4 linked regions of the Neodiprion lecontei genome follow. The protein of the gene in region 1 interacts with the protein of each later gene in a pairwise test. Links are inferred from orthologs where the notes say so. Each region holds a gene or a part of one and is shown on either strand. Other genes may lie near its edges.

Evidence for each region.
Region 2: the proteins of mitogen-activated protein kinase 1 (region 1) and probable deoxyhypusine synthase interact in a two-hybrid assay, tested with the Caenorhabditis elegans proteins (2 studies listed by BioGRID). The link is inferred for Neodiprion lecontei from reciprocal best matches to the Caenorhabditis elegans genes mpk-1 and dhps-1.
Region 3: the proteins of mitogen-activated protein kinase 1 (region 1) and splicing factor ESS-2 homolog interact in a two-hybrid assay, tested with the Caenorhabditis elegans proteins (3 studies listed by BioGRID). The link is inferred for Neodiprion lecontei from reciprocal best matches to the Caenorhabditis elegans genes mpk-1 and ess-2.
Region 4: the proteins of mitogen-activated protein kinase 1 (region 1) and MKRN2 opposite strand protein interact in a two-hybrid assay, tested with the Caenorhabditis elegans proteins (3 studies listed by BioGRID). The link is inferred for Neodiprion lecontei from reciprocal best matches to the Caenorhabditis elegans genes mpk-1 and W10D9.3.

What each region holds. Positions count from the first base shown.
Region 1 is NC_060262.1:23,227,001-23,235,042, forward strand, and holds the start of mitogen-activated protein kinase 1, read left to right. Parts: upstream 1-3,299; 5' UTR 3,300-3,328; coding exon 3,329-3,513; intron 3,514-4,003; exon of another isoform or gene 4,004-4,022; intron 4,023-7,434; coding exon 7,435-7,561; intron 7,562-8,042. Other genes in the region: DNA-directed RNA polymerase II subunit RPB11, read right to left, coding at 804-839, 1,905-2,079, 2,298-2,387, 2,929-2,981. UniProt on the Caenorhabditis elegans protein: Functions in let-60 Ras signaling pathway; acts downstream of lin-45 raf kinase, but before the lin-1 gene product in controlling vulval cell differentiation. Plays a negative role in proximal germline proliferation in the mitotic zone.
Region 2 is NC_060261.1:43,917,055-43,925,330, reverse strand, and holds probable deoxyhypusine synthase, read left to right. Parts: upstream 1-1,917; 5' UTR 1,918-2,278; coding exon 2,279-2,375; intron 2,376-2,470; coding exon 2,471-2,745; intron 2,746-2,828; coding exon 2,829-3,047; intron 3,048-3,366; coding exon 3,367-3,559; intron 3,560-3,664; coding exon 3,665-3,768; intron 3,769-3,851; coding exon 3,852-3,977; intron 3,978-4,258; coding exon 4,259-4,357; 3' UTR 4,358-4,385; downstream 4,386-8,276. UniProt on the Caenorhabditis elegans protein: Catalyzes the NAD-dependent oxidative cleavage of spermidine and the subsequent transfer of the butylamine moiety of spermidine to the epsilon-amino group of a critical lysine residue of the eIF-5A precursor protein to form the intermediate deoxyhypusine residue.
Region 3 is NC_060262.1:35,268,657-35,276,986, forward strand, and holds splicing factor ESS-2 homolog, read right to left. Parts: upstream 5,097-8,330; 5' UTR 4,912-5,096; coding exon 3,758-4,911; intron 3,626-3,757; coding exon 3,325-3,625; 3' UTR 2,678-3,324; downstream 1-2,677. Other genes in the region: uncharacterized protein LOC107224703, read right to left, coding at 1-48, 161-536, 628-818, 910-1,223. UniProt on the Caenorhabditis elegans protein: Regulates pre-mRNA splicing.
Region 4 is NC_060264.1:10,409,864-10,416,609, reverse strand, and holds MKRN2 opposite strand protein, read right to left. Parts: upstream 2,963-6,746; 5' UTR 2,775-2,962; coding exon 2,175-2,774; downstream 1-2,174. Other genes in the region: protein MTO1 homolog, mitochondrial, read right to left, coding at 1-117, 877-1,053, 1,136-1,435, 1,764-1,974.

The sequences.
Region 1 (8,042 bases):
CTTGAGGGATATATTCGATCATAGATGAAACGCTTATTAGTTAATATTGTTTTACCTTGAATAATTGAATCTTAAGAATCAATTCCTAAGGTAAAGCAGCCCCGTAGAACATTGCCTTAGATAACTGTACTTAATACACCCTGAATACGTGTTCAGTTTTGCACACCTGTGCCATCTTTTGTCACAAAATTTTTACATTATTCAATTGTTTAATCATAAAATTACCTAAATACAAAAATATTCCGATTACAGAAATGATATTAAACATACATGGGGCCACAAGCCAAAATACATTTAACATCAAACATCATAAACCTAGTGAGGCACGCTTTAGAAGCAAGTTAGCTGTTAGCTGGGATACGCAAAGCAGACCATATAAGGTAAAAACCAAGACACGAATTAGTTCAACCGTGGACTCAATGTAATAAATCTGTCAACCAAAATTGTACAGGAGCATAAGAGATGGTGTCCTATATACACGGATTTTAATCAAGCTCGGAGAGCCAGTTCAATATTAAATTCAATTAGTAAGGCCACTATACCCAAGCGTAGAATCAGTGTCAAATATAAAATCAATTAGTAAAAGTATAGCAAAAATTGTACTTTTTGGTGTAATGTCGAATAGATCTTAGTGCACATTTCATTTACAAAGTCGCAATATATATTAGCTTGAGATGAAACATTAACTCTTTTAGCAAAAATTGTTATCATTTATTATTCGCCTATCGAAATATAGTAACAAAACAAAATATACATATTACTTCTATAAAAAGAAGGGAATGAAGATAATTCTGTAGATTTATTTAGTCCAAGCCATCCTTCTTTTCCTTTATAGCTTCCTGAAACAATATTATTTATGTACTGTAATGTATGGAGAATATTCATTCGGTATAACATAGTTTGCTTTAGTATAATCTAAAAATACAAGTAGATTAAAATGACGAGTGGCAATTTGATATCATATTATACAAAGTGTTTTTAATAAATGGTTGAATGCAACTGACCCTCAACTTCAGTAAGCATTAATAATTTTCTCATGAAGCTTTCATTTTGTAAACCTGGTCTCGGGAAGGCTGGTCATTTTTTTTCAAATATGTTCAATATATGGTTCAGGCCTACCAATTGTGCTCTAATTAAATATTTGACCTTTGAACAGTTGCCTCTAACACAATTTGTAATTCAGATGTTTTTTGGGCAAGTGATTTTGAAATGGGATTATTTTATATAAGCCAGAATTTGATGACAGTAATGAAAGTCCCAAATTGCAGAAGACAAAAATATTAAAAGCGTGTGGCAAAGATACGAGGTGAATCGGCTTTAGGTGTTAGTGATTTCAATTTCAGACTGATTCAGACTATCTAATGCTAGCGGTTTTGCACCACCTAAAAACAAGGCACAAAAAAGTTCCAATCTACCGTAAACAGTGATTTGTTTATTAAACTCAATATTCATCAGATATTTTATTCAATTTTAGATATTTTGCGAATTATTGTGATTTGAATCCGAAAAAATTGAAAAATTCGACATAATGTTATTAAATTGAGAGAAGATATAAGATTTTTTTATTTTTCATTTTCGGCTAGATTTTTACGAAAAATTGACGGTGAATTAAAGTAAGAATTTTTTGACGTGTTATTTCAAGCGAGACCTCTAAATCTTATCCGATAGAGCTGAAACTTGCAGGGAATTAGTTTTTCACCAAAAACAACAGTTTTATGAGGAAGCAGAACTGAAAAAAAAAATTTATTTGCTTGAACTACTCTTGTATATAGCATAGGATTTACTCATCACTGAATATGTTTCATGTTTTGTTTTCTATCCACCCCATACTTTTGCGTTTGTCAACAAAGGGGATAGATATTTTCATTGTGACTAATCGTTATCCTTCAAAAAATTAAACCTACCTTGAAACGTTCTTCAAACAGTGACAGTTCTGCAATGAGGTCAGTTATGGCATGCATAAATGCTTCATGAGGCGTATAATCGGATGTTGTTTGAATACGGATCACAAATTTATGCTCCAACGGGTGCGGCAATTTGTATCCAGCAAACAAAACTTGAGGATCCTTTAACAATTGACTAAAATAAAAGCATAGACATTAATAAACTTATTTGTTATGACAAGGTCGCAAGTTTCAACTAAATTGAAAGAGACGGTAAGAACACTCCTTAATTATATCACTGTCAACTGTTCCCTATTTCAAAAAATCAATTGCTATCACTCAAAGTGATGTTGGCACAACATATTGTTGTCCTGACAAAGTGTAGTTTTTAAAACATAACTATGTGATAAATACTTTCGAATCATGTTTCCCAGGGTATGATCTTCCTTATTGACTGTGAATATTGCTGCATTGGGTACTTTTGAATCTTGTTCCTTGATGATTCTGCAAAAAGAATTCTAATTGTTAGAAGTAATCATTATCGCCCCAGAAAATTCACTCTCTTGGCTGAAAAGAATACTGAGGCTATTCGGAATATTCGGAGGGTTAGATATCAAGTGACAATAAGGTATACCTCTACCATCAAAACATCATGGCTATACCATCCTTCCGAGGGTATCAGCAATTTATGGCAATATTAACGGGTATATGGTTTGTGCTCTTCGAACATCATCGAGATATGAAAATTGCTCAAGTCTGTAGCGATGCAGTAAAAGAGACTGAATTTACTGTCAAAACTCATGTATGAATCAAACATAATTCTAATAAAGCTACTCTTTTTCCAAGTCTAATTCCAATGGTTAAAGCAAGATATTCCTCCGAATACAGCATTGGTGAACTGGGAGAAACCAATGGAATGCAAAATACACTATCTTAAAGTGCGGTAAAACATTTAGATCTTGACTTAGGACACTGACAGGTGAATAGTTTGTTTATATTAACCTAAAACCTGAGCTTGAGGAAAATGGTCTCAGAAAATGCTTACTTTTTCTCTCCATCATACAAGAGAAACGATTCGAAGGTCGGTGGCGCGTTCATGTTAATAGTTCAAATATTCTTTAATAACGAATATTATCCAGGTATCAAAGTGAGAAAATCATGCACCGCTAAATACACTTGGATAACTTCGGGGTTATTTTGCTCGAAGTGCCCGAAGTCACCTGGAAGTGTTGAAAAAGGAGCTCCCAGCGCTGAAACTGAAAATTCCCTAGGAGCGAGACAGAACTTGGCAATAATGCTATAGAGCAAGAGAGACAGAAAATAGCAATGATCTTTTATGTAGTTTAATATTCCCTGATTGGAGCGTTCCTATGCAAACGCTCATAACGACGCTGCATCTCACTCGAATGCCAAGTTTGTCCCACTTCTCTCTAGCCTGGGTATCTATGGCCTTGATCTATGGCTCGAGCATTGAAGAGCTCACGAGCCGCAAAGTAGTTGTCAAAATGGCGGGCGAAGGTTCGGCTTGCATAAATCCAAATGCAGAAATTATTCGGGGACAAGTGTTCGAAGTTGGTCCGCGATATACTAATTTGTCGTATATGGGAGAAGGAGCTTACGGAATGGTTGTGTAAGTTTCACAGGCAATATTTTCATGGCAAAAATGGCAATTTCATCATATGCATTGACCAGCATTGTGACAGGCGATAAGATAAACAATTCGAGCTCTTACTAGCCGAGACATGTTAACGATTCGATTATAATGATAACACGTCAGCTCATACGAGAATACTCGGCAATTTTTTCATTCTATGTACGTTTTACGAACCACACCTTTACGCCAGCTGCTGATTGCCTTTAATTGGCGCCACATTCAAATTCCTGTCACACCCCTTTCCTTCATTTCTGCAGGTTACGCCACGCTCAAGTTTAGTGAGACCTTGATTCGACTGCCTCGTACTTCTTTTTCCAAGTCTACATTTTTCAGATGTTTTGCGTAGTCAGTGATATATTGACTACGAATCCGCCTCTCCTTTATCAATTCACCTCTCCAAGAAATATACAACCTTTAAATATGTAAAAGTTGAAGAATCCAACTTGACACATGCAAAATTTCGGGGTCAATTGTCTAGCAAATAAGTATGAGAAACGTTTTGAAAATTCGAATTTTTAACACAGAGCGTTATGACACTTACCTTCGAAGTTTTGGATAATTTCTATGCATAAATATTTAGGAACTGCCCCTCAAAAACATGGTGATTATAATACAATTGACGATGATTCTAAACACAATGAACACACATCGAGTTGCTGGAAATTTTGGAAAGATATTTGACATTAAACATTAAACTAGAGGTTATGTTACTTGGTCATGATGTACAATAACAGTGCAGAAGCTGCGTCATTCTAGGCAGTCAAGCAGTAATCATACAGATTTTTGTATGTGATTAATGAAATTAATAAGTTAAGGTTCTCAAAGTATTATACTGTTTTGTTTTTATGATTTTCTAAATTTCAGACAACCCTAACATTGTGAAATAACAATTTTCAAAAATACATTGTTACATTAAGAGGGTGGTACATCGTGGTACAGCTTGAACGGTCTAAAATCATACCTATTTTTAGGAGTTTCTGTTTAAAGAAAATGAAAACAGAGCAACTTGAGTTTCAGGACGTTATTATTTGTAGTTTCAAGAACATGGTTGAATTTTTTCATTGAAATTAATAGCAAAATGGTAGCATGGCGCCTATAAGTAGCGAGCGACCACGTTTTCAATACGGTGGTGCAGATTCCTCGGTCAATTTTTATCTGAATGACTGGAAATTTTGACACAATCTGTAAATTTTGTTTATCGATTCGAGTTTGTGACTAGATTTTTGAATTTCAATACCAAATCTTAATATAAAAATTTTTGTTCATAACCGTATATATATGAAAAAAATATCAAGCTTGACTGATCAAAACTTCAGATACAGTTTTTGCAGTGGCTGAAATCGTTATTGCATTATTCGTAAAATTCAGTAAATGTATCATGAAATTTTCTTAAAAGTGGAAAACTCGTGAAAAACATGAAGGATTTTTACACATGTTAACAGAGAGCGATTCTTAATACGTCACTTGTTCGTATGCAAAGAACGATTTTGTTAGTTGTCAGGCATGTAACGTGCTTAAAGTTACTAACGTCCAAAATCTTCTTTCACTCTAAAATTATAAAATAGTGGTTTTTCCAAATTTTTTACTTTAATGTTACTAATTTAAACAACTAGTCATATATCGTAGTGAGCAGTTTTACCAGTTTCCATTGGAGAGAGAAAGTTTTTAATCAGACTCCATCTGGTGTAGAAAACAGATTGAAAACGTTTCTTTTTAGTTTCATTTTGCATTTATATATGTATCGTTCATTGAAATCCTGACATTTCATCTGCAAAGTGGAGGAAAATATTAACGTAATGTAATTTTAGAAAATGTCGTTATTTTCAACTTAAGAATTATCCAAAAATAGACTATACTTCTATATTGCAAATTCAACTCCGTTACAGTTATTTTGAAGTTTTGTAATTGTAATTTTTTGTTCAATGTTCATTGTGTTATCTTTAATAATTTCAATGTTGGAAAATCCCCAGTTTTTCCTGTCACATGTGTCTCAAGAACATATTTTGAATTATTTTGTGTGCGAAATTCAGTATTTCAAGAGACGTATCCACTTCGAATTATTTATTACGTAATTACTAAGAAATAATGTTAGAAGATAAGGTGACCATAAAACCACACGACTAATAGCAACCAGTTTTCCTTTAAAGACTGTGGATTGTACATTCATTGTGCGTGCAATGATTTGAAATGACAAGGCTGAAGCTAGTAGTGAGAGTTAGCAGCCAAATGTGCTAATGTTAATTCGAATAAGGTAGTGGTGAAGTCCGAAAATCAAAATTTTGTGAAATACCCTGAACCCCCAGTACTTTTATAGAATTATGAGCATAAAATTGAACTGTATTTTTCTAATTCCAAAACTACTCACTAAGGTTTGGCTGCTAGCTTCAGCTTCATTTTGAAATGTTCTAGATAAAAGAAGTTTCATCCATTTACATTTGAAACATGAAATTCACTACTACCCTTATCGTGCGGTACTACAATGTATTGTCATGCAGGGTTTTCATTATACCTGCAAACCAGAAAAGTCTGGAATCTTCGGAGATTTTTGTTTTCCTAAAAAAAACCAAGATATAGCCAAAGAATCCTGACGATTTATGGAAAAACTGAAATTTCAAAATCAAACTTTTATATTATTCCAAACGTTACGGTTGTAGTGTAACGCTTGGCATAGTTGTGTAAGCGAGAACTGATGAAAAATTGAAATCCGAGTTCAGTACAGAAATGGAACCCAAATGAAATATAATTTAAAATGATTGATTAAATTTCTTCGTTCATTGCATTAATCGTAAACTACACAATCGGTATCTAGATAATTACAATTTTAAACGTGTGAAAGTCAGGGAGTTTTATAATCGAAAATTAGTTCTATTACTGTATCATTTATCAGATTATATCTGTACGAAATTTAAATAATAGATTATAATTTTAAAAAAAAGCTGAGCCTGTTAGGTCGTTAACTGTAGTTTCTTTAATTATACTTTGGAGAATTTACTAAAGGGTGTTTCTTTTTAATTGCCTCAGGTCAATTACCCCAAAACTAAGCAACAAATCAAAAATCGTTTCATAGAAAATATTCAAGGTTTGAAGGGGTAAGAAAAGAAAGGTATCAGATTTTTTGCAATTGAAACCATCAAGGTCAGATGAAGGTCAACTTAGTTATTTTTAGATGGGATAGTATATCTTTTTTATTGGCCTCTGATTGGGCATCAAATTTTGCATAAAAAATGACTTACGTAGTTGTTGCCTAAACTCGACCGGTGATAAGATACCAGCCGGTCGAATTGGAGCAAGGTACCTTGTCAGTTCTATGGAAATACTTGAGGCCTCAAGTATTCTAATACTAAAAGTTGCCTGAATTATTTTCTGTGTTGAGCCCATGAGATTAGACAAAGAGTAGTATGTTTGTTGGCATGGTAGTTTATTTATTTGTTGTCAAAGAGTTGGGTGGGTTGAGATAAAGAAACTGCAAGACTATTACCATGTAATATATGGACAATCCTTGATGATCTATGTTACATTTCCAGTGTACAGACTTTCAATGATATCAACTACCCAGATATGGTGTATTAAATGAATAGAAACGATTATATGAGGATTTTTTGTGTCATTTCACTTAAGTAGTCAATGCCGATTTCACAAAGTGTCTAGCTGTCAGGGACATCTGGAAAACCGGAAACTATTAGGAAATTTGCATACGTCTGGAAAAACCAGGGAATTTCAGGGAATTTGATATGTCATTGACACTAGGCACCCTGTTTCAATTTGAACAGCAGAAACATCATATGTTTACCAAACAATGAGATGAATGTTGAATGGCGTGATGCATATATCGATAATTATTATAATTATAAAAAAAAATATTGGTATTAATTTGTTTTTATAATTTATTTTTTGCAGATCTGCGTACGACAATGTAACAAAAACTAAAGTAGCTATCAAGAAAATATCTCCCTTCGAGCATCAAACTTACAGCCAGAGGACTTTGAGGGAAATAAAAATTCTCACCAGGTTCAAGCATGAGAATGTAAGAAATTTTTATATAGACCTAATATTTATTGTGTGAGAGCAAAATGATAACCAATTCCTTACAGACTTTGAATATCACTCTGTTTTTTGCAACAAGTTTGACAAGAAGTATAGTATCACTTATTTTACTCAAAGTGCAGCATAATTCTGTATAAAAATTGAGACAACATGCGGTTTGTATCACCCATATGAAATCCTTAATTACTCTCAAGAAGTTAAACAAGTATGCGATTTCATATTACTCAATGAATCATAGAATTTTGACAAAACACATACTTGAAAAAAAAGAAACTGAAAGTAAAAATAAAATTAATGAAAACTCAATATCCTTGATACATTTTGAAGTCTGAAATAGAATACTTGCAATACTTACCTTAATCTGTATTTGCTTGCAACGAGCAGTAATTGTAATGCAGGTTTCAAATATTATACCAAAAAATATTATTCTGAATTCATATCTGTCTCATAGGTATATGTCA
Region 2 (8,276 bases), on another chromosome or scaffold:
AACAACGTGATCCGAAATAAAAGATATTTTCCTCATCCACGGGCATGAAAATAATCAATTATTCTTAGGTTACTATTAGAGAGAGTGTTGTGATAATTTTCTGAATGAAGTTCTGCAAATTAAATATTATTTCCAGTATACGTATTTGAACTCACCGTTACTCGCCACGGTTTTAAAGACGGCGAAAAGCCCGTTGTCTATCCGATATCCAGTTGACGTTGAATAATACTATTCTACGGATTGATGCCGTCGGACGCTCAACGTCACCTAAAACCCACAACGAGTATCTCGCGGCTCCATCGACGACGTACCCCTACCCGCCGTTCTGGGGTCAGACACGTACGGTTCGCCGATACTTGGCAACGTCGCAACTTCATATCTCTTTAAGTGCGCACGCGCGCTTTCGAAGGCTTTCGCTTTACTCGGAAGACCAGAAATTTATAATTCCGCGTGAAATACCATTCGAAGCGACGCGCGATGCCTGGCCGTAAGAGTAGATTCCCTGTATTCCACAGCTGCTAAAATACTTGCGCTATTTCAAATATTTACCTACATTTGCACCAGCTTAAGCAACGTCATCGATAATCGCAGCCAATCCAGCACTGCCAAGAAGGCCTGCGTCGTAAACGATCTAACTTCTACGCGCGAACGTTCGCGCTAACAGTTGTTCATATTTGCAATTGCTTAATTCGGATGAGCCACGTGAATAAAAAACACTTTCTAGGATTTATGTGACATACGTTGCACGATTGTACAGACTTACAAATTGGTAAGTTGCTTGACAAAATTGACACGTGCTGGTATATCACACGTATTAAATGGATACGACGTATAACATTGCGGGGACCGTAGTATAGGCTCTCTCTAAATTATTTCTCGATTACACGAACCCTCAGACGTGTAAATTGTGATCACAAAAATATTTTGCCAAGCAGATATAATATGATGTATAACGAATATATTATAGACTAGGATTACATTTTGGTATACACTATAGAGACACTACGCGAAATACATTACGGTGATTAGTTTTCTATGGAACATACCTATGGTAGATCCGATGAGCTTGGTTATGCTTCAAAGAACGGTAGACCCATCGGTGTTCTGGTTGGACTTTCCCGATCTCTTGTCTATTCTAATTTGTAGCGGAATTAAAATTCGATCCAATTCTTGAGAAATATTAAATTTCCACTTGGAGCAAGAGTAATAAAGTATAACATGAATGAATTTAATTTTGAATCCCTAAATCAACAACAAAATTGAATGAATTCTTTTCCCGTTTACTGTGCGGTGACTGTTCACTATTCCGGTATTTGTTTTATCCTTACAGTACGCGACACTTGAGTATATGTATAATCTCAGTAAATAGATTAACAAAATATCGCATAGAGAGGCAGAGCATTTCTGTATCGAGGTAACTTCTTAACTGCCTGCACCTTATTATGATAGCTAAATTGTAGATAGGTATACGTTCCGATCTATCGTACATACATTGCGAATCACACTACTTGAGATCGTAATTGAAATCCAAGATACCGCTAACGAATAGGTGAATTAAGTTACAAATAGTTGCGTCACAGAGTATGTAAAATTGTAATTATGCGGACGAACATTGTCATATAACGGCATTATTGCCGGTTGATTTAAATGAGAAGAACCTTCTCATCTTTATGTAGAAAACCTTTACAGTCTGTGCAAAGTAATACCCATACATTTCAACTTGTCGTCGCTCTTATCGACGCATTCAAATTTTTTACGACCACTACAACCAAAACGTGACGTGGTTCATCATTTTGCGAGCTATGAAAGAGAGGAAGGGGTGCCGGCTTTTGTGTCGATGAAGACTCGACGTTTGAAAATATCGCGGGGCCCGATACCCCTCGCTATACCTATATCGGCAGTTGTGCAGTGCCGGTAATAGAGATCCCATTTCTAGCCGGTAAGTGGTTCCCCGTTAGTGTCCTGCTATTCGGCCGGTCTATGATTTTGTCTGCTACTGCCTTTAGAAATTTGAGGTTATATACCCCAGCGTACATTCTATGAATTGTACCGGATACGTTTTGTGCGAAATTTTTTCGTAGCTGGGCTAACCTGTATAACACGTGGATTGCCAAGTGATTCGTAATTTCGAGCTAGTCGTTAATCAGTTCCCGTTGTCATTTACGAACACCGGTTCTGTCATAGCCACGTGTATGCGAAAACCGCAAGTAAATACTTCTGTATTAAACTCTGGGAGTTTTGGCTGTTATTGGATATTGGATTCTCAAATTGTACAAGAATGTGTGAAAATCCGAAGGACAAACTCCCTGCTGAATTGAAAGACGCAGTGCTGGTCCAGAGCGTATCCCTGCCCGCAGGTGCAGCTACAGTTAAAGGTAAGAAACCTGCGCTTGAGTCTACTTCTGCAGCAATGTAAAAGCTTGTAAATTTCATAGTGGGCAATTATCAACCTGAACAATTTCCTTCCCAGGATATGATTGGAATGCCGGTGTCGACTATCACACACTTTTCGAGAGCTACAAATTCTCAGGGTTTCAGGCTACTAACTTTGGTCTAGCTGTCGACGAAATCAACAAAATGATCAACGCAAGGAAGGTCCCGCTCGACGATGACAAGATCGACTCTATAGAGGAAGATGAATTTATAAAGAGGAAGAGCAATTGTACGATATTTCTTGGGTATACGTCTAATATGGCATCTTGTGGGATGAGAGACACTATTAGATTTTTGGTTCAACACAAAATGGTCAGTAATCTGAGTGTATGCTATTTTATACAACTATTTTCTCCATCTCCCTGTACATCAAGATAATCTCATACACCCCACAGGTTGACTGTATCGTTGCCTCGGCTGGTGGAGTCGAAGAGGATTTAATAAAATGCCTGGCACCGACTTACCTTGGGGATTTCCACCTCGAAGGCAAACGACTGAGAGAAAATGGGATTAATAGAATCGGGAATTTACTTGTTCCAAATGATAACTATTGTCTTTTCGAAGACTGGGTTACCCCAAAGCTGGATGCAATGTTGGCTGAACAGAAAGAGAAGGTAATTATGTGTGCTGCTCAGTATGTATCACGCTATCGTCTTTTACTTTGGCTTTTTGTGACACTTGAACGGATTTATTTCAGCAGTTGTAATTTTACCCTGACGAAAATTTCACATGCATTCTTTTTCTTTTTGTCACAGCATCAGAAATTGAGGAGTTAGAAATCCCGTTTACCGTTAGGTCGAAATAATGCATGTGTGTATGTTTTTTTTTTATTTTAAATAGAAATTGCTTTTTTACTAGACCGTTCAATGGTCAATGTTTTTCTGTTCATTCGCATTCTTTGTCCTTTCAAATTCAAGAACGTTCCATTCGCAGGGTACTTTGTGGACACCCTCAAAGGTAATTACGAGACTAGGTGAAGAAATTGACAATCCAGATTCTATCTATTATTGGGCTGCCAAAAATAAGATTCCAGTCTTTAGTCCCGCATTGACTGACGGTAGCCTAGGCGACATGATGTTCTTCCATTCGTTCCGAAATCCTGGCCTAGTACTCGATATATTATCAGGTAGTTTTTTAATTAATCTGAAGATATATTCCTCGATTATCAGGTAACAATCTAACTACAAGCTTTCAATCTACCCCATTTATTCGCGTAAACTTTTCTTGGTAGATTTAAGGCGTTTGAACAGTATGGCGATGAAAGCGGTAAACAGCGGTATCATCATTCTAGGCGGGGGTGTAATCAAGCATCATATTTGCAACGCAAATCTTATGGTAATAATCTTTGCGATAATAAGTTGTACACACATTTTTCATACCAAACTACTTTGATTACCGAATTGCTGAATTCCCTACAGCGAAATGGCGCAGACTACGCTGTCTTTTTAAACACAGCCTCCGAGTTTGACGGTAGCGATAGCGGCGCAAGGCCCGACGAAGCCGTTTCGTGGGGAAAAATCAAGAAAGACGCAACTCCTGTAAAAGTAATAATACCATTCATACTTTCTTCGTGCGATTGCGGTTATCACTGTAGAAAAACAAAAATTTCTGGCGTCAAAGAAACGTTACTATGTCGGTGGCTAAAATAATATTACGTCGCTACAGTTAACTCTGAATTAAGGCAATGAAACATTTTTCACCAGTAAAGAGGTGTTTCTTTGATCTGAAACATTTTCTCGATGTGCGCAGCAAGTAAAACGCACACAGCTTGTCTCTGTTTGATACTAACTGTTTTTTTTTTCTGTTCTATTTTCTGTCCGAACAGATATATGCCGAAGCTTCCCTCATCTTTCCACTTTTAGTCGGTGAGACATTCGCCCGTCAATTTCATTCCTCAAAAGAACGAGCTGTATCTGACGTATAATTTAATAAAGATATGTATTTTTAACCCACGCCAAATCTTTTCATGAAATAAGATAATATGCGAGTGCGGTACTTTCCTCGGCGTCAAATAAACGGATATTTTTCACGAAACACGAGGATGAAGTTAGTAACGTTACTCCAATAATGCATGTTTAGGATCATCTGAAATTTGATAAACCCTGACAAACAAAACATATTCATATTTTTAAAAGCCAACTCTTTGAAAGTCATTTAGAAATTGCACAGTAATGATTTTTTCCCTGACGTTTCGTTTACGTTAACGTCGCTAACTTCAGCCTCATCCTTCCTTCTGCAAACGAAGAAAGATGCTCGAAATAATTCTTAGAATAAACATTGTATCTCCATTAATACCGTCACGGGGATATTTCCGTTTCAGCATCAATTAGTTTCAAACAAACGTACAACGAACTAAAACTGAGGAACTACTGTCCTCGCAATGATAGGTATTCCAAAAAGTAGGCGCTCACAAACGTAGGTATGCCGTGCACAGAAGTAACACAGTTTCGTCGTTCCAATTGCTTTGGTCTCCCGCGCGTGACGAGCGGGCGAAGGGGTAGGAGGGGGTGGGGGGGTCGTAAGCAAACGTCCCTCTACCTGTCTCCCCGCAACTAGTCCTAGTTCGACGGGAGCTGATAAGTTTCGGGAACTATATGTGTCAAGCGGCTCGCTGATCACCTAGTTCCGTTTTCCGCGCGTGCGTCTTCGCCACCCCCGAGTATGGGGCATGTGCAGTCGACGGGGGTGGAAAACTAGCGGTTGTCAGTTGATTCCCGTTGGCCCGCGGTCGCGGACGGGCGTGGGTGGAGCAAGGAGTTGAACCCTGTAATCCGCCTCCCCGCGTTCACCCGAATTATCCGAAATACGCGTCTATATACCTGTAATATACGCCTGTATCAACTAAGCGCTCCTACGCTCATCCCCAGGGAAAAGCCCCGTCACGACATCCACCTTGTGCGGGCAAAGTTTTTCTTCGTATCTGACGATCATCCCTGCATCACCGCCCCAGCCCCTCCCCCTCCCTCAACGAAATGCTGCCGCTGCTCCACAATTTTCGACGGGAATGAACGACGATGGACGTACAGGACGAAACCAACACCGCGTCTACAGCGAGTTCGTCGCCGAGGCCGTCCAGTCCAGCTGCGGACTCCACCTTCATAAGGTACCACAGTTACCTATCCATCTGACACAAATACACCACCCCGACATTTATAGGCTTAATTACACTGCGGGTCCGTAATTCGAGTCTCTCTTGTTCGATTTTGACTACCCTGTTTGCCTGTTACTAACGTCGTGTATCTCTGTCGATGCGTACAGGCTTGGAAGGTGTGAGAGGATGATGACGACTTTTATATAAATCTTTATTAATTCAACGGTAAAAGTTTCCCGTGGTTAGTGGCAATCGGTTGGATTATTAGTAGTCGGTGGAAGAGGGGTCCGATTGTATATCTTTTGATACCTTGGTTTTTGTTATATTTTCGTCAGTTTTGGTTTCCATGGTTGAATGGAGAATGATTCCGATTAACTGAACCGTGACGAGAGTGTACAGATGTGAAAAACTCGAGTTACACTATCGAATTCTCAAATCTCGCAACTGAAACCCGAACATTTGATACACTAGTTATTATGAGTGAACAGCCATAGAGTTTGTTGAAACATCACTTCATATTCAATAACGCACCTTACAAAGTTTAAGTAGCGCTAATAGCGTCGTTTACGCTAAACTCGACTCCTGATGTATTATCGAAGTTTGAAAGTCGTACCGTTCATCTGTCTCGAGTTCAGATACGATAAGGCAGAAAAACTGACGATGTAAAGGATATAACAATTAGGTAGCTGTACGTATACGTATAAGTATAAGGGACAATACCGACTGCGGGGAAATAATACCTTGGGTAATTTTTCCTATCGATTCAACAAACCCGTTACATTTTTAAACACCGTCTTGCCATTCGAGGTATACACGTAGGTACGTTCAATACGTACAATACTCACATCACGGCACGCGCGCGTCGTCTTTAGAACGCAAACAATACTAAATTCTATACTTACAATCATGCAACTGTTTGTTCTTCTGTTAATTTAAATAACAGTCATTTCCGCAGATACTTCAATTTACATATGTATTACCTGTCAGCGGTTTGTTATTTGTCTAACGATGGTAATGAATTAAAACCAGCACGTTGTATTTCTTGGTTTCTTATTCCCATACTTATCCAACGTAATATGTACGTATATACGTATGTACGTATAAACCTTCTGAACGATATTCTTAAAGTTTCAACGCGAGATGTATCCACATGAAAAGTTTAAACGAAGACTAATGATTTGGGGTGCACAAATCGTGATCGTTATGAATACACATACTTTTTGCTTTGACGTTCGAACGAAGATACCTTCGCAAAAAATTGAATTTTCAACCAAACTGATTTACAACCTGCCACGCAGTACAGAAATTGTGGCGGAATTTCAGCGAACTCGGGAACTTGTATCAAGACCAAGATTTTCTCCCAGGGTCTTGGCGATTTGCAGAGCTTAATAATTCACGTGCATTAGTTAGGGAAATTATGTAATTCCGAAAATCTCCTTCGTTGCTGCGCTGTATATAATAAATCCAAGTTGTCGAGATGGAACTAAAAACAGTGTTTTGAATCATTGCTAGGAGTCTTGATGCTATTTCGAACTAGATTTATTAGGAAACAATTCCACCTGAAATAACGTTATTTTACACGCGACCGAACTTTAATCGGATATCAAACTTTTTTCGTCCCAAGCGTAATGCTGTTATAACTGTTGAGCGAAGATTACTATATTTGCTTACAAGTCTTACGCTTACACTATAACAGTGGGCTGAATGAAGCCGTCGAAACCAAATACCGAGTAACGTCATTTTGCTATGAAAACCGGGCTAACACAGTCTTCTTTCCTCATATACTCAAGTCTCGCTGCTTGCACGAAGGCTCACAAGTTGGTATCCTTCATCGGCGGAGCCTTGATCGTCTACCCATCGTACACAAACTCTCCCTTTCGTCCCTTTCGTTATTACACTACTCTGCCGGCCTACCTCACCGGGTATTTTGGAATGATCTAGTTCAATCGCGATCCATCCCGTGTATAAAGTGACGACGTAACCTAATGACTATCGATGCAGATCGGAATAGACGCGAGGATTAAAATTCTGGGGACCGCAGTTGTACACAATTTCCTTCATTTGTGAAAGATACCTCACATTGGTTCCATTGAGTGATAAATTGAGCTTCTCGGCGTTCTCTTTTTCCAATATTCTTCTCCTCTCCATGTTTCTTGTTACGTCGTATAACGGATACCACGGGATCTGAAGTTCCGCGGAATTTCGTATCCACAGAAAGCCCGCAATGCCAATCACGAGTATAGCGGTAGAACTCGTGGTGAAGTTTGTCGTGACGACGTACTTGCTTGCTTTTCCGCGACGAACGCACAAGGATACAGGGCAGATGAGGTTGCCGGAGTCAGAGGTAGCACGGTGCGACTTACGTGTAATTCCCTAATTCTCTACGCTCCGTTGATTCCACAACAGCCGTTTCCGTCAAGCAAATGTTGGCCGAATCGTTTCGGCAATGTAAATAATCCAGGATGCTTTTCGTTCCAGCGTGAAGAGAGAACCAGACTCGGAGGAGCCGAACAGCCCTCTCGAAGCCGCCAGCCCCGGGTCCGTCCTACGCAACAATGGTGAGTTGCCCTCAACGGTCTGGTATATAAATGTACATATTCGGTGTTCACCCTTTTATTTATTCAAGAGTTATACGAGCAACGTGACCCGCACATTGGCGAGTTACTTTTATTACATTCTTTATCGCGTGTAATACGTATATGTATGCATGCATAACGTATCCGTACCTACACCTAATGTATATAATACCTAC
Region 3 (8,330 bases), about 12 Mb from region 1:
TTCACGAAGTTCACTCCACTTGATGATACTGGACCGTATCCAAGGTCGCTGAAAAACACAGGGTACCAGAATAAACCTTCGTTTCGCATTGACTCCGGAAACAACTGATACGTTTGTATGTTAGGTCTGGAAAGACTTTTGTGCTCGATGGTGATTGTACCTGTAGCTGATGAACGAAGGTTTCAAATCGCCCTGCTGGGCCTGGGCTTCCAATTCCAGTCTCTGCTCCTCCAGGGCCGCTTGCTGGGCGATCACTTCTGCGTAGGTATCACTCATTGCAGGTCTCGATGCGAGTTTCAATTCCACAATTGGTTTGTCGACCGTGAGGAGCCTTTCCTCGGGAATGTTGAGGACAGTCCTACGAATGCTACCGTCGATCGGGGTACTCGTTGGTCCGAAAGCCAATCTTGACTCCTGTATATTCTGGCTCGCTTGTTTGGCCAATCCAAAGGCCAACGCCAAGGAAACAGGGTCAGCGGGTGCCACTGGCACGCTTTGCGAATTGTAAATGTTTTCTTGTTCGTCGAAGGAGAGTCCTGAATCAATTACAAAGGAGGGAGACATTTTCCAACTAATTTCAAGTTATTTTTTATGGCGAGTCAAGTCGGTTTCGGGACTGCAACTTACCTTCGTCCTCGAAGACGTTCAGTTCGGCGTTGGGAGTGCTGTAGCTGGTGTAGACGGGTGCATTGTCAGGATCCTTGCACTTACATTCCAAAGCTGCAGCGCAAGTGCGGCACATGGGCTTTCCGGGGTAAGCAGGAACGACTTCAGCGATCCCGGAGCAACTGGTGCACAGATCACCGACCGGGCGTAGTCTGGAATAGGAATGAAATACGTTAAGGGACGAAGAATCGAGACCGAGATTCTCTTCCTTGCCGGGAAAATTGATTCGGAAGAACTTCGTACCTCGGTGCAATTGGGCCGCAAGAAGGCTGAAGCAGATCTATGACCGATGGTCCACTGACTTTTTTCACTTGATTCAGACTTCCGCAGCCGCTGCTGTGCGTAGGTGAAATCTTATAGCTAGCGGCTTCGGTGATCACGGAAGGGTCAGCGAATTTGAACGGGCGGGCTACCTTCGCGGCTTTTACGATGCCCTCGGAACATCCGCAGGCGTCAATTCCGGGTCCAAGACCGCAGTTGTGGCGGTGAGAACCGGCGGCATGTTGAACGGTGAGGAAAAGCGCCAGGCCCAGAAACAGTATCTGGGAAGTCTTCATGCTTAATTGCGTTGTGATTTTCCGTTTCTCTTATTGCCCACCTTTCTGTTTTGTTTCTCTTAAAATTACCGATATGAGTCCTCCAGGTCCACTGTGAAGACACCTACTTATACCTCGACGAATCGTGCGTGCCATTTTAAACCGATGTTGCAATTTTGCAAGCCCCACAACGTGCGGTTTATTAGCAAATGTTATTCGTTTGAGTTCCGGTGGGATAAACAATCAACATTTGCTGCTTGGATGAAGTTATACGCACGAATAAAAAAACCTCGTAATCATTCAATAAAACACTCAAGGTCTGCACAAGGAGTGTTCCTTGTTTAACTTTTGAACGGTAAATTGATTATAAACAGATTTTTTTAATTTACCGACGTCACATAAGGCAAGTTCGATATCGGTTGCGACTCCGAAGTGCTACCGACTTTATTACCGGAAGTAACAGTCTTGAAAATCAAAATACGGAAGTCAGAAGCAGCGCTAGGGTGTTTCATTACGAACAATGCGCCAAGGTCACCGATGTCCATCACCAACGTCGGGTACGTGAACTTAACTCTACCTTTCAATAATCAGGATTTATAATTGGCGTAACTGAATAATATAATATAATACAAATTGACTTTTGAACTAAAACCAATTCTCCTGCAGTAGCATGCTCTTCGAAACCGATCGATATCCTGAAATATGTTGTCAGTGAAATATTGGTACTTATGGTTTTATATCAATGACAATTCAACCGTATAACGGGATAGTGGAAGCGATTCGAATTAATGTCAACAGCATATAACAATATCATAAACAAATCAATGTGGTAAACTATTTGAATATTTTTATAAAAATTTAATCTGCAATCAAATATTGAAGCCGAAAATATTTCTGGCACGTCCAGATTTTACGATTTATCAGTTGACGTACGATTGTATCAAACAAGCTTGCGTTGGTCATAGAATTGAACTATTTCTTAGACGGGCTTTTGATTCACTCAAATTCAGGAGGGAGCAAAAACATGAAAATGCACAGCTTCATGTACTGTCATGGCGATTTATGAGATTCAGCTCGGATCTCCTTTTTTTGCTGGAATTTTTGATCAGTGAAGTTCTCGAATGTAGGTTTCATTCGTCGCGATATAGCAGATATCATTTTCTAATGCACTCTCAATGAAATTACAGAACTAGGGGCCCAGAATAATCACAGTCTGTCCTTTTTCTTTTATAACATACACAAATACTTTAATGTGAGCGTTGTAATTTTTACTTTGACTCTGGACTAGCAGATTTCGTCGATCTAGATCAAATCAAATTTGTTGCATAATACTTTGCGTTTGAATATACGTTTTTAATATCGAGCAAACATTTTAAAATTTTACCAAATTATTTATTCAATAGATATTGGCTGGACATTGTCTCACAGAAGGATCTCTATTCAAAAATAGGAAAAAATAAACAGGTCGACAATACTATGGTCGGTAAGAACTTCATTTATTCATCACTCTGACACAGATTGTTTTAAATTTCGGCACGTTGTGAATAATATTTTTCGTGAAAATGCTTATCGAGCTTATCCGTGAGTATCTACCAGCATATTACCTTTGCGTTCACACCATCGGAAAAAAATGACGTAATGACTTTTCGTAAATTCATTTCTAATGGAATCGCAAATTAGTGTTAATCATTCGTCAATATTACCAAATCAATAATAAATATTGCATATAATAAATCTCCCCAAAAAAATTATTACATAAAACTTAATCTTAAGTACGTATTTACAAAACTTGAACAATATTAACAGTGTTTCCATTCAGCGAAATATAGAAACACGCAAGTGAAGTTAGCCGAAAACTAGTAGTATATCGTTCAACTATTTTACACTTATAAACACAGGATACTCCTATCAAACTAATGAGTAAATACAAGTAACCAGTGGACATTATAAAACTTAAGATATATTACAATATTTGCATAGCATCGACTTAACAATTGAACGGAGTAAGGAACAGACGTGAAATACATATCAGTGGTAGAATTCTTTTGAATTAAATTTATACAGCTTTTGCTTAATTTATACACATACCTCTGCATTTATCAAGATTTAGAATGAAATCGATTCACTTATTGAAAAAATCAGCAGCTCTCTGTCTTTGCGTTGGTAAATTAAGCAGATTATCGGTAAGGACAGGACCCTGCAGTGTCGATGTCTTTTCCAACGCAGAATCTTGACTCTTAGATCCAGGTGTGCCAAATATCGGTGTGTGTGGCGTCCTTACGCCTATAGAAGGAGTTCTTGTTTGTCGAGATCTTCTAGGAGTTGGGGTTCCTGAAAGCCGCAACTTTTGCGTCGCTAATCTCCTCGCAGCTGGTGACATCGTGCTCAAACGATCCATCGCAGATAAAGGTCTGGGTGATGGACTGTAATTGAAAAATATAAGAATTAGAATGGCTGATTAGTGTGAAATTTTTTATATAGTGCAAGAATTGATAAATAAACACAGGGATCAACTGTTCTGCATGAGAAGAATGAAAATTATTAAGACTGTATACCTAGCCAAGGATCTTCTTGCAGCTTCCAAGGCTTTACTTTTCCGGTCTCTGTGCCTCTCTCCAGCTTTCTCTGCCAGTTGTAATGCAATTTTTTCTCTTTTCGGAGGCTCAGCCATTCTGAATGCTGGCCCATGGCTGGTTCTAAGTAGCGGAGTATCACCTCCATCCAGCCTGAATGGCGTCCCTTCTATTTGACCCCAAGTCATAATTGGGCTATCGCATTCTCCAGGTCTAGGACTTGGCGTTGCAACAAAGCTAAATCCATTGACCCTCGGGGTTGGATTACGAACTACTTCTTTTCCATCGATTCCAATCTTGCCGTCTTTAACCTTTGATTGAGTTTTGGCAAGTTCGTTGATCGTTTCCTTATTCTGTTGTTCGTTAAAAGGATTCATTCTAAGTCTGGTATTGTCGTGAATGACTTCCTGTTTCCTCTTAGCCAGATTGATCTTTTCTTCAGGAGTCAATTCAACGCCGTCAGGCACATACATGATATAATTTTTGTTCGTGTAACTCCAGCCGTCGAGTTCCTTGGGTTTTTCATAATTACCCTCAATGCATCTCGTCTCATTTTTGTTCCTCTCAATGGCCAAGACTTTAGACTTTTCTTCAACCTCATATAGCCACGAGTATTTAAGCCTGTGTTTCTTCTCCGACTCTACCATCATCTCCTCAAAACTTGCGTTGTCCTCGCTTGTATGAGAGGTCAAGTAAGCATCAAGACCCATCTTCACCTCCGTCTCAGCGTCGTTAGTAGGTACGTCTATCTCCGTAGACTTTGGCATTTCCATGACGGACTCGTCGGTGTTTCCGTTCCGCAAAGGAGTCTCAAACGTTGCAGGACTCACCGGCCGCTCCGTGATGGGTCGTCCTGAACTGTACTTCTCGTACAACTCGCGCATCCTCTTTATGTTGTTGTGCTCAAGTGCGTCGAGGTAGTCGTTCTGAGCGTGCAACTTTTCAAGGTCAGGGAAAAAGTCCCTCTGTATGATCTCGGCCATCTTACCGATGTACGTATCCTCATCGAGGATCGTCGACTTGCAGCCCTTTCTTCGTTTCGCCACCCCAATTGGCTTTTTAAACACTGCCAACTCCTTTATGTTTCTCGCTGCCTCGAGCGCCTGTGAACCAGGCGTGTCCATCGGCGAGCCCATTTGCCCCTCAGGCGAACGTAAATTTATCACGATTCTACAGCAAGCTTCGATTGCGTTGAACAGAAACTTATACTTTTCAAGTATTTAATGTAAACACAATCAAAGTGAGGTTACGTTCGCGACTTTTACTCGTTTCGACGCCATGACACTTTGTCACTTTTCCAGGTGATGCCATGAGTCGTGGACACTGATTGACTTATTCGTAGAGTGGCGCCACGGCACGGCCAAGCCCAGCAGCCTCGATGAAATGTGGAGTCAAGAAACCTGCAGCGGGAACTTTGAACGGTGTCCATCACTCTTCTAAAGACGTGAAATTAAAAATGAATACGTGGAATCTCAACGTTCGGTGTTTCACTTCAAGTGGTCTTCGAATAGAAGAGTATGTATGATAATTAATAAGAATCTCAAGCACTTCAAGTTAGTCACCGTTCTCAACTATAGTAGAACCTTTCCGAATTATGAAAAACTGCATAGCTTCCTGACTTGCCTCCGATCTGAATTAAGCTTCTTTTACAGTTCAGTCAATTTTGTTACAAGCTAGAGAGTAAGTTTTTACAAGTCAGTTACCCGCAAACAATTTGTAATACGGTAATTAGTATTGCAATTATATTGTGCTGCTTTTCGTACATCGTTCGCGAAACGGAAACAGTGTTCGCTAGCACCGAAAAATAATAATTAGTCCATCGTACAACCTGCTTCAAACGCGCTTTGCGCACTTTCGCTTGAACGATGATATGCAGGTATTTATTTCTATAAATTAAAACATCAAGCCATTCGCTATATCACACAAACGGGTGTAGTAACTTTATTGAAATGCCATGCAACGTCAAAAATTTTGTCCAAAAATTCCCTAAACTCACTGATAGATTTCTTTGCGGCAAATTTATATTTCACCTATCGGTGCAACCAGTTTATAATTTTCGAGTTGGACTAATGTCGTCTATTCTTTCCTGTTAAAAACCTAGAATAATTATTTTTTACTTGCAGGTGTAATTATTCGAGATAAAACTCAGTGGCGACCGATTTGTACGGAGTTCGATTCGAGTACCGAGAAAGTCAGTGGAGTGCAATATTCCTCCTATATCATTGCGTAATATTTGTTATCCGCTAACAAGCAGAACTTACTCCAAAATATCGTCATGTTTAAAACGCGCCAATAAATTTCTGGAATGGAAGATAAAAATATTTCGAAGCCGTCGCCTCAGTTCCAGAGGGAGGAACGACGGCGTTTGAAATCTGGTAAAAGAGGGTACAGGTAAATAACGTGGTGCAGCCATAGCCCGCGATTTGTAAAAGACGCCCCTGCGTTGGCCACTGTACGCAAAGATCGAGTGGTATTTTGGTCGAGCCGTGGCGGCAGGCGAGAGAGGAGAAAACGAGGAAGGCCGAGGCAAGCGCAAGAGGAACAAGACACACAAATAGGAGCGGACGCATAGGAGCTTCGCATCAAAGTGTGCGGAAGATCCCGATGCTCCTCTCTCTCTCTCTCTCTCTCTCAAGTGATTCCGAGGTGTTGGCGAGGCGCGCTGACGGACATATGGGGATTCCAGCAGCGAGATAGGAAAGCCGTGCCGACGACAACGGCCAAACGCCGCAAGTCACTAACTCTACATTTACTCGGCAAGCACCGGGAACACACGACGGCCCCTTGACTTTACTTACGGCCTTTTTCTCTTTATATCGCCATTCGCGTCCGCATGATCGAGAATGGACCCCCGTTCCTCCCATTACCGCCGCGATTAATCGTTTCATGCTATTCATGCAGCAGCTAGCTTATAGAACTTGTTTGCTGACAATTATAGATATTCGCTATCTGAAATAGAATTCTAGACAAATTCTTCGTTTCATTACTTCAAAGTAGTCGTCGAATTCGATCGTTGTAAAATAAATTCAACTTTTATATTAGCTCTAATTCTTCATTTTCATATTCGATGAAACTATCAGCACTCGATAAAAGGCGATCGATGCTAATTTGTTTGCCGGATATTTCAAACATTTCACTTCGTTTTAGAATCGTTTCATTTTTTTTCTTATAAAAATAAAAAAAAATTTAAAAAAAATGGTGCAATTTAAATTCCAACCGCAGGATTCGCACTCACGATCACATGCTTAAGAAAAATAATTCAATCGAATTAATCGGGGTATAACAATTGTATGGTATAATCGTTAAAATCAATTCTAAATTCTGACGTCAAGTAATCGATGCTTTTAAACTGTTTTCAGTTTATTTGATAAAGGTTTCAAGATTTCCAGGTGCCGATACGAAGTGTATAATTAAAGACCCGCCGGTATTGCGCAAGTATAATGCAGACGTTCAGAGTCCATATGCAGAGAAGCGCTCGTGAATATGTATAATACGCGATGTTGATAAAAGAAACCGGCGGTGTGCGCATATAATAAGGGATTGCTGTCAACTGGTTCTAGGTAACTTCGTAGGATCATTGACTTTATTTATACCGAGGTAAGGTAAACTTCTGCCGAGAGACTTCGGGGCTACCGGACATCGTCTGTCTTCGCCACCGAGGGTTGCTACGTTACCGCCGGCCGCGTCGACGGATATCTTCCTTCCTGAAGTGAACCGTACCACAGACTTCAATCCGCGTATATATCCACGTTATACGTAAGTACACGCCCAACCCCGGCTTCTCAGGTCGAAGAGCAATGCTTCTCCAAAGGAGAAGAAGGAGGAGGAAGAGGAGGAGGAGAAGGCACCTCCGGGTTTCCATCTGATACAAACACCCTTTAATCTCAGCATCGCCTCTAATCCCAGAAGTTTATCTTATTTTTTGTTTTTTCATTTTTACCACTTTCTTTTTTTCTTTCTTTTTTTTCTTTGGAGCTTCTTTAAATTTTTTTCACACCTCCAAAGGACCTGATAAATATTTTACGTTCTGTACTTGTCGTACCCCCACCACCGCTATTCACATTTCAATCTTAACTATATCCCTGCCGCCTGATAATAGTCGTGGACGTGATGGAATTCTTTCCTTCTTATTCCATTCTTTGGAAACTTGAGCCAGACACGAGGCTTCCACTCTGCAACACGCCATACGCTTCTTAATATGTTGGTGATTGGTGAACGCGAATTACTTGAACCCCAGAGGACGGTATCAATAATAAATAACTTTTTGGATGCTCGTAATTTAGAAAAGGAAGAACCCGATTTTCATTCAAACAGTATAAGAGGAACCTTAATTTGCCTGCGCTTCGGAGAGGGAATAATCAAAAGTGGGTAACAATTGCACAACCTTAAAGTGAAAGTTAATTCTCGTACTGGACTTTAATGCTCTATTCGCATGCAATCACAACCAGGTATCATGCAAAACCGCGTACTACCAAATTTTTCAATCGAAGCAGGAAACTGCCAATTTCCAATACACGACGTCTGCGTGATTCGGTCGCTGTCACGAAGAATCATT
Region 4 (6,746 bases), on another chromosome or scaffold:
CCGGCTTTATCCACACAGTTTCATTCATGAATGAAAATGGCTCCGGCCGATTATCTGGAGGGTGGTATTGGCATTGTGTAAAGTCGATAGTAGACTTCACGATTCTTGGAGGGGTACCTGAGTAACAAGATAAACCTGTACTTGCATTTTTTGAGAAAATGAGAATGAAGATATCTAAATAATACATTGGCTAAATATATCTGACGCTTTATACATTCACGTTTTGAGATTTATCAGGTGGTACACTCTGACCTCTCAATAGTCTCAAGCAGGGATGAAAAGGGAAGTTTTTCCATGAATCGGTGTTCCCCCACTATGTACCACTGCACTGGTCAGTGAGGCTTTACCCTTATCTCTCAATAATTCTAATCGCTCTAATGCTTCGAAATACCAATGAAAAAAAGTTTTGACTGACGAAACTATTGAGAAGTAGGTATACGAAATTCGAGCTCACGGCTAGTTCGCTGAGTAGTAGGAGGAACAGTTTGCAAAGAAAACTGGAGAAGCGGAACTATTGAGAGAGGGGTACTATTCAGAGGTCGGACTGTAATTGTTTACATTTTTGCAGTTTTAGTGTTTGAACAAAGCAGGATTTTTCAGATGATTTATGATCTACTCAATGTTTTGAATGACTCGTAAGCCTAGGTCTAAGAAGTATGCAGACATATAGAACCTTACACACTATAATATACAGCAGTGAATTCAATAAGTTACAAATCCTTGAATCGGGAAATAATATTTAACAGATTTATGATCTCTTTAATATGACTGGCAAAGGACAACATTGGTGATACATAGCAGCTCAAAATTTGTGTCAAGTCGTTTTTAGTACTTGCTAGGTATAAGGAAAATGAGTTTGAACATTAGCTTACATACCAGTTTTTAACCTTCCCATTCTAAATCCAAGGTCTTCAAGTGTATTAGCCAAGCCAATGCTAGGCTCATCGTCTAATCGCCCAGCAGGTCTCTTTTCCAAACCAATGTTAATCTGGCCCTTTAAAAAAGTTCCCGTTGTGATGACAACAGACTTTCCAAACACCTTGGTTCCATCTTCTGTGAAAATAAAATTGATCATTCAACATGATGATTCAAATGGTAGTTCCACTGGAGGTATATTCAAAAGAACCACACTTACTGAGTATAACGCCACAGCACTTAGGTGAATCTCCTTGTAGTATGAGATCTTCAACTGGAGATTCAGATATGTGTAAATTTTTTGCAGAAAATAATTCAGCCTGCAGATGCTTTTTGTATAATACTCTATCTATTTGGGCCCTAAGACCCCACACTGCTGGTCCTTTCCTTCGATTCAGTATTTTGTAATGTATTCCTGATTTATCACAAATTCGACAGCAAACTCCATCTAACGCATCAATTTCTCGCATCAGATGACCCTTTCCAATTCCGCCAAATGATGGATTACAAGACATTTCGCCTGTACTAAGAAAACACTAATTAGAATCATGAGGTTGAAGTTTGTAACGCTATTTGTAATAATGTTGATTTTAAAAAAAATCGTAACTTCACAACTTTAAGACTGGCTGAAATTAAGTATACCATCATAAAGCAAAATATAACTTGTATTTCAAAAGTTAACACTTTCAAAGTCATGGTAAAATTTAAAATTAATGATTTTGTGTTAAATTATATCAATTTGTTGAACTGAGATTTATCAAATATGTTATGTTGTCTAAATTTGAATTAGATTATTTTTGGGATTCTTGTAGTTTGGTAACGGGTTCTTGACTTTTATGCCAACATACCGACAGTGCTCTTCTTGTGAGTAACGAGCAAAGTCTTGGCCCCCATTCTAGCTGCCGCAGCACATGCCTCTGTCCCAGCATGCCCACCTCCAACGACGATGACGTCAAACTTTTCATAGTTACTATCACTAACTACTGTTCCAATACACCGCTGATAGAGTTGTATATGTTTAAGTTTGAATACACAGTTTCTTAGTTGAGAGATAGCCATTGTTCACAATTTCTCTTAGCATAAATTTAATTTTTGATCAAAATTAAAGACAGTATGTGAATCAAGCTATGATAGCACTACAAACAGGAGAGAAATCTTTTTTTTAATTATCTGGAAGTGATCACTGAGTTATATATTAGTTTTAACAAAGGTCGAGGATTTATATTAGAGACAACTCACACAAGCAAATCTATAGTATTTCAGCAAAAATGATCAACATATTTGAGCTGTCTGTAAAGGGTGACAAACTTCAGAGCATCCTGAATTTTAGGAATAACAAAGCGTTCACAAAATTCTTCCTTACTAGCAAATAACGCACCACTATACTTCAATTGAGTTAAAAATTCAAGAACAAAATTGAAGCAGTTGAAAGAATCTTGGTTATAATCTTGGCAAGACCATTTTTCGTCAGTTGATATTTTTTGTATTGTTGTGTCCCAATGATCCGTCCAGGAATCAGGTACAATGTCAAACGCCAAACAGTTTAGCCAGTTAGAAAAGTCGTTCTTTATCACTCCAGGTTTATCATACTCGAATATATTCCCTTTAGAATCTACCACACCAATATGCAAATCATCAGTGATCGTGTAATCGTTCAAGAAATCGCCTAGTGATGGTCTTAGTACAACCGTCACTGGATATTCCCTGGCGTTGGCAAAGGGATTCGGTAGACGGAACGGTTCCAATAAGTATTCAAATATAGTAGCATTACATACGGGACAGATTGCTGGTACTTGTTTACAAAATATAGCAGTTGAAGAACAATGTTTGAAACAGATAACACAAGGGTCGTGATTCATCGGTACAATTTAAAAGTAAGTCATCTACAACTATTTTATGCGATTTTAAAAAGCAATGATAATACAACTTTCAATAGGTTTGATCGTGCAAAGTTAATTAGGGTACATAAGGTTAAGTTTGGTGATATTGTGGTCGCTTTGAGGTTATAACCCTCGGATATTATCGCAACACACTCCTTACACTTGTAATAAGCCGCGCATTTTTTACGCAGATATTCTGAACTATCAATAATTCATTTCGTTGTCCTTGCGCACGTTTTCATCAGATTTTTTAATATTAATTCATAAGTTAGATCTACGTGCACTTGACCGTTCTTCGTTCTCTGGTTCAGGCCAGCCCCCTGACACACGCTTCTAAAAGTGGTTCGCAAAACGTCCCTCGATTCTGCCGCCAATTTCCACCACTAATGGCGCTAGTAGTTACCTGACGAGCTTGCGCGCCTTCAGCGAGGGCAGCGAGCGTGTCAGAAATCTACTAGCGCCACGTAGAGGAACTAAAAAACGGGGACAAGACGCGTACAATTTTTTAGTAGACGAGCAGTGGTGAGTGTCAGGGGGCTGGTTCAGGCCTTACGATTAGCGAGACTAGTATGGCCGTGTTCAAAAATTGACTGACAGTACTGTCAGCAATCTTTTATCTCTTTTGCGCTGCCGAGTTCATGGACAGCTCTGTCTCTGTCCTAGGGAATTTTTAGTACTGGCAGTCAATTTACGAACACGGCCTATGTAACACCAGTATGACTTATTGTTAGAGCATATACTGTACCTTATAGTCCTTATATGCCTAAGCAGTATGTACACTTGGGGACAATGAATCTGTGACAGCTAATTTTTACACTAGAGAGTTATGTTGGCAACACTGAGAAATCTACAGCGCTACAGTCGGCCGAGCACGAAACAAACTCAATCTCAATAAACATGACATAACCCATCACCGTCGAATGTAACTTTAAAATACCGCGGGGATAATGACTTGTTAGATTGACACGTATCATTAGATTGACACAATCGCGTTTAAAGTTTCAATACGATAATACTATTAGTTTTAGTGCCTTACCGATCAATCAGCGATTCCAGGCGCATATGATAAACCTTCAGCTTCCTCAGAGAGCTGATTATCTTCGAGTTGTTGTTTTCGAGCTGTGCGAGCTACTTTTTTATCAAAAAGACTCCTTCGGTTCTGCCTCGCTATCCGCGCCTCATCGGTGTTTTCAGCAAAGACTTTGGAATAATTAATCTAACAATTTATATCTAATGCATTTATCATTTTCAAAATGGCACTGTAGCCTTCATTAAATACCCCAACAGAAATGTAGGCTGAGATTTCAACGATTTTTAGACAAGAATGCAGGTGCAGGTCCTACAACTTCGTTAGTATTTCATATTCGGATTGTTCGACTTTCTAGTATACTCTCAATATATTATACTTTCGAAATGTGCGAAAACAAATCGATTTTTTGAACATTGTAAAGGGTTTTCTCCCGTTAACTTCAGCACCTACGACCAGTCTACTAAATTCAATTCTATTATTCAATTGACTATAGTCTAAACAATCGTCAACGTACAGCACCTCAATTCAAGTAACCAACGTCACGTTGCATTCTAAATATTTATTTCACCTATTCCTGCCTCACTTCGCCTAGTTACACAATTACGCCTAATCCCAGTTCTAACAAAGCATTCAAGCAACCAAATGTATAACTTCTCCACCTCGTTATCACTCATTCCATCATTCCCGGATCGCGGACTGCGACGAGACCGCACCCAAATTCACCAAAATAACATCTTAGGTGAGCATAGAGGTGGTTTGAAAATCGTCGAACCAGCCCCCCTCTATCCCATAATATATTCTTCATTTTTTAATTATAAAAATTGAATTAGGAATTATATGAGGTTTTCTCAATTAACAAATACTTTGGTACGGTTGTTACATCCTCCAGACCTTAGATTCTTTTCCCACACTCTTACAGCTACCTTATATCCTGATCCACTTCTTATCATCACCTCGCTGCCTCGGTTTCCATACCGCATCAGCAGAATGCTCCTTCTACTAGTAAACTGTAACTAGCCAGTCCCTTGCATGCTTCTTCTCATGTGCTAACTCTTAAGTCATATTCCATTCGGCCAACATCCAAACTCATCTCTGTTGCCTTTTCCCTTCCCCAAATCTTCTCACTGTACTCTCCGTACCTGTGACAATAAATCAATTACATACTATACTTAAACATTCAACTCCTCGATACAAGTTCCTCTCATTTCCTCTGATCCTTCCTACGTGACCGTAGTCAACGGGTTACGAATCCAAAATAAGCGGTAATAACATCACGGCTGAGTGTGATGCGATCATCGATATAGCCGCTCGTCGTGATCTCAATTATCCACCCCGTAACATGGTAAACAAAGCATTGAAATTCCAGCGCGGATGTTACGTTTTATCTGTACGTATACGTAAATATTAGTATAGGGGAGACCGGGGCACGACGGACCCCCCAAAATATTGACGAAAGAGAACTTTTATTTTTTTTATACTGAGATATTATTAGAGGTTTGTTTAATATGTGTTGAATGTATGCAACATTCATTTAAGATGAATAACATTTTTCTAAAGATTTTTAAAAAATTATATTTTAGATAAAGGCCATTTGCTCCGGAAGATAATTATTTTTGTCATATATATATATTGATAGATAATGAAAGATGTATTCAATGTAGGTAAAATTAAAGAGTGCAAAGTTATTAAAAAAAAAAATATGTCACATTTTTAGAAGGCATCCGTCGTGCCCAGGAAAAGTTCTTTTTCCTTAATTATGGCAAAATACTGACGAATTTGTTCGAGATATATCAAAAGAATTTGTACCGGGGCTCAGAAGCCACAAAAAATAGGGGGTATCACTAACGTCAATTGAGTTTTGTTTTTAGAGGTGACAGTTTTCTTTACATTTGATTGTTGCAAAATTACTTGCATTCCCTGGCGTGCAAGTTCCAACGTTAAAGTTTTCACAATTACTTGTCAGTGAAATAATTTAAGGTGTTTGATGTGATTCTTAATGCATGTATATGATTATGAAAATATTTTTACAAAATACGTCAAAAATGACATGATGGCTGATCAATAAGTGATTTGAAGCGTCTTTTAAAGATGCATTTATTCATCTTGTAGTTTATACATTTTCTAAAACTGCCCGCGAACTACTTCTATACTCTAAATGTTTTCTTCCGTCCTAAATTATTTATTTTTCGTTTACACATAAGCTATTTTCGCGAAAAAGTTACGTTGTATTTGGCAATAAGGATTGTTTTTAATATTTTTGGTAGATATATTTTTTGATGAGCTACTGGTATTGCAATCAAGGTGTACCGGAACAATATTGTGTGTCATGTAAACTATACTTTGGTTCATTTTTGTACCTATACCAGCGGCTATAATGCCTATAATAAGAGATATTTGTAAAGTATACGAGAATATACTATACGAGAAGACAGATGAACAGGTGGGTGTATTTTAGAACCTACGCCGTGTTTAGCACTTTTATCTCGACAACGAAGCTTTCATTCGATTGTGGTTTGTTTTGTCAAAAAGTATATGGATCGAGGTTGAATCGCGTATTTTCTGCATCAGTCAATCAATACACTGAGAAGAAAAAGTCGTTGAATGAAAACAAAAAAAAAAAACTGTTTCGATTAAGTAATAAATGCGGAGTACACGGGCGGCAAAACAAATATTTGACTGTCAGAACAATTTATAAGCTACACGAACTAACGTAAAAATACTTCTGTTGACTAATTTATAATTTAACACAAATACGAGGATGTACAGTCAACGAAATATCAATTCGAACAATCTGTACTATATAGTTAAAATGAAAATCATTTTGTTAATCACAATATCGTACTTTTTGATTCAACGAATGTTTGATCAATACAAGATCATACTCATCTGGTGTAAAAGAATCTTAGTTAACGGAATTGCAC